3 linked regions of the Kluyveromyces lactis genome follow. The main gene of each other region encodes a partner of the protein of the gene in region 3 in a complex. Links are inferred from orthologs where the notes say so. Each region holds a gene or a part of one and is shown on either strand. Other genes may lie near its edges.

Evidence for each region.
Region 1: the proteins of CBF5 (region 3) and SHQ1 are in contact, whole or in part, in a crystal structure (PDB 3ZV0), measured with the Saccharomyces cerevisiae proteins. The link is inferred for Kluyveromyces lactis from reciprocal best matches to the Saccharomyces cerevisiae genes CBF5 and SHQ1. Residues at the interface, in NP_013276.1 of Saccharomyces cerevisiae: Ser20, Glu21, Trp22, Pro23, Leu24, Lys27, Leu49, Lys50, Arg51, Asp52, Ser274, Asn277, Ala278, Tyr281, Gly282, Ala283, Lys284, Pro288, Val336, Lys337, Arg338, Cys339, Arg343, Asp344, Pro347, Arg348, Arg349, Trp350, Leu352, Gly353; in NP_012162.3 of Saccharomyces cerevisiae: Ser181, Val182, Thr184, Ser185, Asn186, Gly187, Asp189, Lys215, Asp217, Pro218, Glu219, Tyr220, Val222, Ser223, Glu224, Met226, Thr227, Glu237, Ile238, Asn239, Thr319, Thr321, Thr322, Glu323, Trp326, Tyr379, Pro380, Leu381, Arg383, Asp421.
Region 2: the proteins of CBF5 (region 3) and NOP10 are in contact, whole or in part, in a crystal structure (PDB 3U28), measured with the Saccharomyces cerevisiae proteins. The link is inferred for Kluyveromyces lactis from reciprocal best matches to the Saccharomyces cerevisiae genes CBF5 and NOP10. Residues at the interface, in NP_013276.1 of Saccharomyces cerevisiae: Asp65, Lys66, Pro67, Ser68, Trp78, Ile82, Thr99, Val124, Ile126, Ile175, Glu176, Asp178, Arg181, Leu183, Val185, Gln214, Glu215, Leu216, Arg217, Val219, Glu226, Asn227, Thr232, Leu233, His234, Met237, Asp238, Trp241, Tyr251; in NP_058135.1 of Saccharomyces cerevisiae: Met1, His2, Leu3, Gly11, Lys12, Arg13, Tyr15, Thr16, Leu17, Lys18, Ala30, His31, Pro32, Ala33, Arg34, Phe35, Ser36, Pro37, Asp39, Ser42, Arg43, Arg45, Val46.

Annotation. Positions count from the first base shown.
Region 1 is NC_006042.1:372,269-375,645, forward strand, and holds SHQ1 (Hsp90 cochaperone SHQ1), read right to left. Parts: upstream 1,979-3,377; coding exon 551-1,978; downstream 1-550. Other genes in the region: BOP3 (Bop3p), read left to right, coding at 1-499; DPH1 (2-(3-amino-3-carboxypropyl)histidine synthase), read left to right, coding at 2,322-3,377.
Region 2 is NC_006039.1:1,464,490-1,466,540, reverse strand, and holds NOP10 (snoRNP complex protein NOP10), read right to left. Parts: upstream 728-2,051; coding exon 554-727; downstream 1-553. Other genes in the region: DAD4 (Dad4p), read left to right, coding at 114-332; ENT1 (epsin), read left to right, coding at 1,489-2,051.
Region 3 is NC_006040.1:407,710-411,282, reverse strand, and holds CBF5 (pseudouridine synthase CBF5), read right to left. Parts: upstream 1,979-3,573; coding exon 554-1,978; downstream 1-553. Other genes in the region: KLLA0_D04774g (uncharacterized protein), read right to left, coding at 2,437-3,573. UniProt on the Saccharomyces cerevisiae protein: Catalytic subunit of H/ACA small nucleolar ribonucleoprotein (H/ACA snoRNP) complex, which catalyzes pseudouridylation of rRNA. This involves the isomerization of uridine such that the ribose is subsequently attached to C5, instead of the normal N1.

The sequences.
Region 1 (3,377 bases), on a different chromosome or scaffold from region 3:
ACATAAGAGAATGATGTCAATGCCCATCTTCAAAAATGAACCAACGACTGGAGTGTTAAACTTTTCGGCTTGGCAAACATATAACGGTCAAAATCTATCAGGGAATCACCCAGGGTCTGGAAGAAAACTCACGACGACGGGCCCTTCATCGTTTCCACATGCAGTAAGGAAACATAGAAGAACACATTCTACAAACTCTGCTTTTGGTGTCATTGATTTGAACTCCATCAATCAGGTTGCTTTTAAACAGTCGAATTCAAGAGGTAGCTCTGCTATTGGAAATAATGTTAATGATCATGGGGATAGTCCCACGTCGGGAAAAAATAATTCAAAGGTAGAAAAAGAATCTGACCCATCCTCCGTTGGAACAAATGACGATGCTTTCGGTGATGATAGTAGCAATGACACCACTATCGATGATATCAAAAAGATCTCACCTTCTCCTCCTCGAACATTATTGAAAGGTCCTAACTATGTGGACAATTTATTAAATACCTGATTGATACTACCGGATTAAAGATGGTTGGAAAATTGATCTATATAAGTGCACTCATTGTACTATTTCTTCTTGTTCTGCTAAATATTCTATTTCGGAGATATTCAATGTTTCCCATTCAACCTCGCCAGTCTCCTCATTCATTCCTGAAATACATTCAAATTCAATGTCTGATTTTGTGATCGATTCAAGCTCTTTCTTTGCTTGAAGTGCTAGTGATTGAATCACATTATCGTTTCCCTGAGAAATGAACCATGCGCAAAGATCATCCAACAGAATTTTATTGTAAACGTAGTAGACATCATGGTATCGGAATAGTTCATGGATATCCAATAACGCTTTTATTACCAAACGTTTCCCTCCAAGTAACAGCTTGATAGCCAACTGCCATGCTTTGATACAGAGGTCATAGTTACGATGCAACGGATAGCTGAGAGCTCTTCTAATACCTGTTACTATGGTACCTTTGATTTGAGAGAAATGTATTAAAGACTCGGATAGAAGAATCTGTTGGTCCAACATTGAGATCTGTGGGGTCAATTTACCGATTGTCCATTGGCTTTCAGTTGTATGTTGTCCCTCATTTTCGATCTGCTCAAAAGTGTAAGAATATAATATTGATAATATCGTTAGATATTGGCTTTTAACGTCATTTATTAAGTACTTCTTTTTAGGAATGTGGTCTTGCATCTGAGTCTGTTCCGCTTCGGTGAACTCCACAGGAAAAGATACATTTCTTTCCTTCGATTCATTGTCTGACCTTTCGAACCACTGCTGATACCTTTCGCAAAGAGGAGGAAGGTACCCAAGCAATCTTTTTATGCCATTAATCTGGATTTCCTCTTCATCGCCCTGTTTTATGGTTATATATTCAGCAGCATAGTACTCTGGATCAAATTTCAAATTTTCCTTCTTCAATCTTTCCTTGACTCTGTTCTCGGGAGAAGTATGTTCAGGATCATCCAATTCGTTAATGTCATTGCCATTTGCAACGGACATAACAATATATCCTGTATAAAGATTATCGAAACCGTATTTCGTTGTTGGTGTATTATCTACTTGAACCTCTTGTTTGATTTCCCAATCAAAATGCTCTCCTTCTTCTCGAATATCAGCAATTGATTCTTTCTCATTACTAATTTCTTGAATCAACGGCCCATCTGTCACTTTAGGTTCATTCTTTGCTGCCAATAATTTGCTAGCGAGATCTAAGTCCTTGAACTCTTTACCTTTAACTGCCTTCAGAATCTTACAATTGATGCTCTCTTGTTTGGAATCATATTCCACTGTATTTAAAGTTTCATCCTCCACCAATTCATCTGATAATCTCAACCTCAAATAATACGGCGACAAATGGAAGATAAACATACAACCATCTATTACAACCTCTACACCAGCACTGTTAAACCTTATGCTTGACACCTTAATTTGTACATAAATGTATTCATCATCCTGAGTGACAGTAAATCTTGGAGTTATCATTAGGAACACTATACCGGTAAAATACGAAACTCCGGTACCAAGTTACTTCTTGTATAGTTTCTGAAATTAATGGGTGGTCAAATTAGCAATTCAGATAGTTATGTTTATAGCAACTAAAAAGGACATATAATCCCATCTCAGTGGCACATACCTTGACCTTTTAGAATTACAGTCATCAGAAATTACTTAGACGATTACAGAAAAGAAAGAAAAATTTCCAACTTTGGATATTTGAAAAGAATTACCAACAGATGAGATGAGATGAGTCGGTTTAGGTTTTACTGTTCCAGACACCATTTAACTGCAAGTGTTGTGCTCCAATTGCTAAATAGCGCCTTTTGTGATGACTATGGGTGAAGTTGAGAAAAAGCCTAGAAGAAGGTTTGTTGGTATCAAAAAAGCTGCAGAAGAAAGTGATCCCTCGGGATCAACCACTGAGCTAGTGAAGAAAATCAAGCCTAAGACTAACATTCGTCATGCTATTAATCAGATACCGCCGGAGCTTTTAAATGACGAAGAGTTAAATGCTGCTATCAAGCTTCTTCCCTCGAACTATAACTTTGAAATACATAAAACTGTATGGAACATTAGAAAGCACAAAGCAAAGCGTGTTGCTATTCAAATGCCTGAAGGGTTGCTCATATACTCTTTGGTGATAAGTGATATTTTGGAGCAGTTCTGTCAGTGTGAGATTGTGGTTATGGGCGATGTTTCTTATGGTGCATGCTGTATTGATGACTATACAGCAAGATCGTTGGATTGTGATTTCATTGTCCATTATGCACATTCCTGCTTAGTTCCGATCGATATTACTACTATCAAGGTACTTTACATCTTTGTCACTATCAATATTGATGAGACACATCTAATAAAGACGTTACAGAAGAACTTCCCAAGAGGTTCACGGATTGCTGCATTCGGAACAATTCAGTTTAATCCAACTATCCATAGTATGAAGGACAAATTGTTGCAGTCGGAGGAACACATGTTATATATCATCCCCCCTCAGATCAAACCACTTTCGAAGGGTGAAGTTCTTGGGTGTACTTCTGAAAGACTAAACAAGGAACAAATAGATGCGATGGTTTATGTTGGGGATGGTAGGTTTCATTTAGAATCGGCCATGATTCATAACCCTGAAATTCCTGCTTTCAGATATGATCCCTATAATAGAAGATTCACCAGAGAACGTTACGATCAGAAGCAATTGGTAGAGGTAAGAGCATCTGCCATTGATAAAGCTCGCAGTTCGAAGAAAGTTGGTTTGATACTTGGCGCGTTAGGTAGACAAGGTAATCTAGCAACAGTTGAAAATCTCGAAACTAAGCTCAAGGCTTCCGGAAGGACTGTAGTAAAGATTATTCTCAGCGAGATTTTCCCACAAAAGCTTGCAATGTTT
Region 2 (2,051 bases), on a different chromosome or scaffold from region 3:
ATTCAAATGCAAAACATCGGTCAAAAATGTAAACCACAAGGAAAACACAGGCACTAGAGGCTACAAAACTGGTGTATAACTATCCGTCATCAGTTATATTTGTGATACATACCATGGAAAACCCGTATGAGAAAGTTCAAAGCAATATTCTGGCTAGAATCATTGGCAATGTCGAAAGGTTGAACCAGAGTGTAGTGATACTAAACCAAGAGCTTCGAAGGGTAAACACCAAGAATAAGAATTTGGAACTGATGTCACAAATGTGTGAGAACTATAGAGAATCTGTTGATTTCCAGTTGCAGGCAACTTCCAAGAAACAGGACCCATTGTAAGGTCTCACATATATTCTAACGAGAAGAATTTATTAAAAAAAAAAAGCAGTTACTTAAGTGATGTAGTATGTACGTATATACATACGCCTTTTTATAGTCGGTTTCAGGACCGTACTGATTCTAATTTACAGATAATAATGGATTAATTTTTTTTGTTCATGTTCAGTGAGTTTTAACCGGTGCAATTTTGTCTGCGGATTGTGTTCCAACTTGTAGGGACCTTAGTTTGGCAAAAGGTTGTATCTCTTCTTCAAAGTAACTCTTTGTCTGGAGTATTTGTCATCTGGAGAGAATCTAGCAGGGTGAGCAGACTTTGTAATTTCATTATCCTCAGTCATCTTCTTCAAAGTATAGATTCTCTTGCCTTGGGCATCCAAAGTGTACATCAAATGCATAGTGGGTAGTGGGTAGAGTGTGATAGATGCTTTTGGTTGGAAGTGAAAAGGAACTAGATATATGGATAACAAGACACTTTCTTTCAAGCGATGAGCTATACCGATCAGTTAGTTAATGCTATGTTGAAAAACTGATTATATCTCTTTGAAAATTTAGCAGATGCACTTGATGGAAAAGAAATATTCCAGTTCGTATCATGTGATCTGATGATATATTCTCTAACGTAAGTAGCGATATGTGTTTTGATTATCTTTTTCTAGTCACGTGTAAAACGAAGGAGGCTGGATCGGTTCCAATGATCGATTGATTGATAAACTTTTGTAATCGGGTGTTCACGTGACCTGTGTGTATTTTATTTGTATTTTATTTGTATTACCCGGCCACTCTCCTATAAAAAAGGGGTCTCATTTCCACACATAGTTAAGGACCCTGCTTACTATGAGTGTTTTTATGACAGGAACTGAAGCTGGAACTGGAACTGGAACTTTCAAAGGAAAAATGAAAAAAGACGAAAACGAAATTTGAAATTGAAATAGAAATAGGAATAGGAATAGGAATAGGAACAGGAACAGACATTGACTATTAAAGCTTTAATTTGATATAGACATAGGGCTTGTCACTGATAAGAATAATATATTTTGGTCCTGTGTTGAAAACAGCGGAAGGTTGTATATCGTGTTGAAAACGAAATTAACAGTAATATAGGAGTTTCGGTTCGTAAGTTCTACGAGAAACTAAAGAGATCAGATAAATTTATACGATGTCCAAAGCATTTCTTCGTAGTGCAAAGAATTTAGTCAATGGGTACTCTCAGGCTCAGGTTCTCGTTAGAAGTGCCACTTCTAACGATAAGGACGGTCCGTCCGTTGATCAGTTGGAAGAGTTGGCTGAAAGGACATTTGATAACGTGGAATTTTTCGAGATCATGGATATGTTGGACAAGAGATTAAACGATAAAGGCCGGAACTGGAGACATGTCGCCAAGTCACTAACGTGTCTAGATTTCTTGGTGAGATGCGGATCAGAGAACTGTGTGTTCTGGTGTAAAGAGAACCTTTACATTATTAAGACGTTGCGTGAGTTTACACACACCGATGAGTTTACCGAGATCGATAACGGTGAGATTGTCAGAGTGAAGGCGAAAGAGTTGACGGCGTTATTACGGGACGAGGAGAGGTTGAAGGAGGAACGGATGATGAGGCTTAAGGGGAGGAAACGTGGTGGTAGGAAGAATAGACGTGACGATAATGAAGATGACGACGATTTGCAACGAGCTTTAGAGGAGTCGAGGATCACTGCGGAGGAAGAGGAGAGACGTCGTAA
Region 3 (3,573 bases):
CATAAGTTGAGGACGCAATATAATATGCGAGAGAATACAAGGAGAATTATTCAATGATTGTTAATACTGGTAAAGTAAGAAACGGGACGTTTCATTGTGACACCTCGACTTCTGTTCACAATGTAACCATTTGCATAGATTTTAACCTTCATTTACCTTTTTATTGAGCAAATGACATCATGCAAATAAAAGACATACCAATCTGCAAGTTTCCCGACTTCTATTTGGTTCCGAACAATTGATGTCTGCCAAAAAAAAAAAAACTCCAAGTATTATTATCAAATCTTCTATCTACCTCATACATTTACCATTACTTTTTGCCATTACTTCAATTGAAGACGTAATGGTGTCTTCACACGCGCATAAATAATTTACAAATTTATATATACGAATACAATGATATACAACATCGACACAGGGTACAAAAAACAGTCGTGACGAAATACGTTTTTCAATGATTAAAAATATTCTACAGTGTACATAACCTAAATGATAAACTCTATGCAGTTTTGAAATTTCGATCGATGATATGAAGGACTTAGATTGTAGTCGTTTATTTCTTTGACTTCTTCTTCTTCTTCTCGGAAGACTCATCATCGTCAGCCTTTCTCTTCTTCTCCTTCTTCTCCTTCTTTTCCTTTTTCTCCTTCTTGTCCTTCTTCTCCTTCTTTTCCTTCTTGTCCTTCTTTTCTTCTGGTGTCTTTGATTCTTCCTTTGATTCTTCCTTCTGTTCGACTTCCTTCTTTTCTACTTCTTTGATCAGTGGTTTTTCTTCTGATTTGGATGCAGGGGCGGTAGTTGGTTCAGCATTCTCCAATGAAACGTAAGTCTTCTTCCAGGTCTCTGGAGTATTTTCGTTGGCACGGCCATATTTGTCTAGCTTACCGTCAGCCTTCATTTGTTTTTTCTTTTGGGCAATTGGACCAAGACCCCATCTTCTTGGATATAGGTCTCTTTCCATGATACATCTCTTAACCTTGGCAACAACTCCGTGGTCACAAGTAGCTAAATCGACAGTAGACATTTGAGCAATGGCAACTGCAATGGCCTCACCCTTGGTGGTGATTAATACAACTTCGTCATATAATTCAATACCTTCCTCATAACGAAGTAGACCTGGAATCATCAACTTGGCACCGTAACAAACAGCGTTAACAGCAGAATCTTTGACAACAATTCTTTTGTAACCGACTAATAGAGTTTCTAATGGTTGAATGATCTTTCTTAGGTAGGATTCATCCCTGGTGTTATCGTATACCCATTGTGCATCCATAACATCATGTAGGGTGACCAAGTTATCGTTTTCGGACAAAGCACCGGATCTAACACGACGCAACTCTTGCATATGGCCACCGACACCTAAAAGCATACCAAGATGGACACATAAAGTTCTCATATAAGTACCAGCTTCACAGGAAGCCCAGAAAACACCCAAGTTCCTCTTGTTGTCAAATTCGATCAAGTTGGAGTCATAAATGGTACGGACACGTAATTGACGCTTAACAGCAGAAATTAAAGGAGGTCTTTGGAACAAAGCACCAGTCAAATTTTCTAAACCTCTGCCCAATTCCTTCTCGTCCTTAAGGGCATCGTGCAATCTAACGATACAAACATACTCTTTACCAGCACCTTGTTGAGACTTGACCAATCTGGTAGCTCTGTCAACACAGACGATCAAACAACCAGTGACTTTAGGATCTAAAGTACCAGAATGACCTGTTTTTTCGCAACGCAAGATACGCTTGATCCAAGCAACAACTTCGTGAGAAGATGGGTTTGAAGGTTTGTCCAAATTGATGACACCAGAACTGATATATGACTTCAAATCTCTCTTCAAAGGAGAGGCACCAGCTGGAATTGGTGTGTAATGACCACTTCTGACTAATAGTTTGTCATAGTCCTTCAACAATAAAGGCCACTCACTAGTGTTACTAGATGGTGAAACACTCTCTGGCTTAATAACAAATTCGTCAGACATCGATCTCTATCTTACTTATTAGCTTTCTAACGAACAATCCAGTACACTATCTCCTTCAAATATCGAGAGAAAACAATAAAAGGATAGTAGCAACAATATCGTAAAGCAGAATCTACACTAAAGTGACAGTTTTTAGTCCAGTAAGATGAATCTACTTCTAATAGAACTCTATACTTTTCTTGTTAAAGCTCATCTCATCTCATCGTCTTCATCAAATTTTTTTCTTCAGGTAGAAAATTTTCAGATATCTCAAAAAGCAATTATTTCCGGGTAATGAATTATATTCACCTTGACGTTTAAGTATATATGACAGACATTGGAAATAGCATTGCCAAGTGAGAGTAGTTTTTATAGCCTTCTAGGAAGTGAGTTTGCATTTTTATTTAATGGACTAAACTAGCTGCTAATATGTTCATTATGTTAGGTTAAATTCTGTTAACTTAGTACGCTGTTTTCATTCAGATAGATTCCAAGTACTTGGCGTTATAGTTGTTCTTCAAAGCGCTAGCCCAGTTCCTAGTGGATAACTGTGCGATATTTGAAGTTGAATAATCTGTCTCAATTCCAGTTGAAAATATGGAATCTTCTTTGTCTGGCGATAGCTCTGATGTGTTTTGGTTTTGCTTCCACTCTCGGAGCTTTTGTATAATTTGTTTAGCGTTGTGTTTCGACCTTGAGGAACAGTTGCTATTCACATTGGCTACTTTAAGCTCACGGAGTGAATCATTAAAACCTTGTTTTTGTTCTGATATGTAGTGTAACTCTTCGTTTCTATTGTCTTTATTTTCTATGCCATCACTAACACTTGTAATGGTGATCGCAGGTTTGTATTCTGGTTTGGGCTTGTTGGAGACCATATTGTCTCTGATATTTTGGAACATATCTCTTTTCTTCATAAAATAATTCAAAGTCCGGTTTGTAGACCCGAATCTATCCACATTATTGCTGTATATGGCACTAAGCGCAGATTCTGCTTTAAGAGTAACTTTTAAGGCACTACTTAAAGTTTTCTCGTAATTAGTCCTGTAGCTTTGTAGTTCATTATGATACATGTCAGCATTTTTATCTATTTCACGTTTCATCGCTAACAACCTTTTTTGAAACTTCTCATTGAAAAATGCAAGGTCTTCCTTCTTCTTTTTGATAACCTCGTCATGTTTTGACTTTAAAACTATGTTTTCATTACTTAAAATTGCAACTTTTGTCTCAAGTCCCCTGTATCTGCTCTCATTATTTTTTATTTCTGTCACCTTGTTGTCTATTATCAGATCCAATAGACTGATACGGTGGTTTAACTTAACGATTTCCTCTTCTTTTGAATCCAATGCCTTCTCGTAGTCTGTTCTGTCCCAAACCTTTAAAATTCTGCCTCTTTCAGCCTTTGAGAGATCTTTTAATTTAGCAATTTCCCTTTCATGCTTCACTGACAAAAGCTCCAAATCCTTTGCCTTTGTCTCCACTTGCTTTTTCAAAGAACGATTTTCTACCTCCAATGAGCTTATTATAATGTTTTTTTCCGTGACAATGTCCTGTAATTGACGATATGCACTGGCAACTGCCTTCAAAGATTCATTTTCTCTCTCTAACAAAGAGCA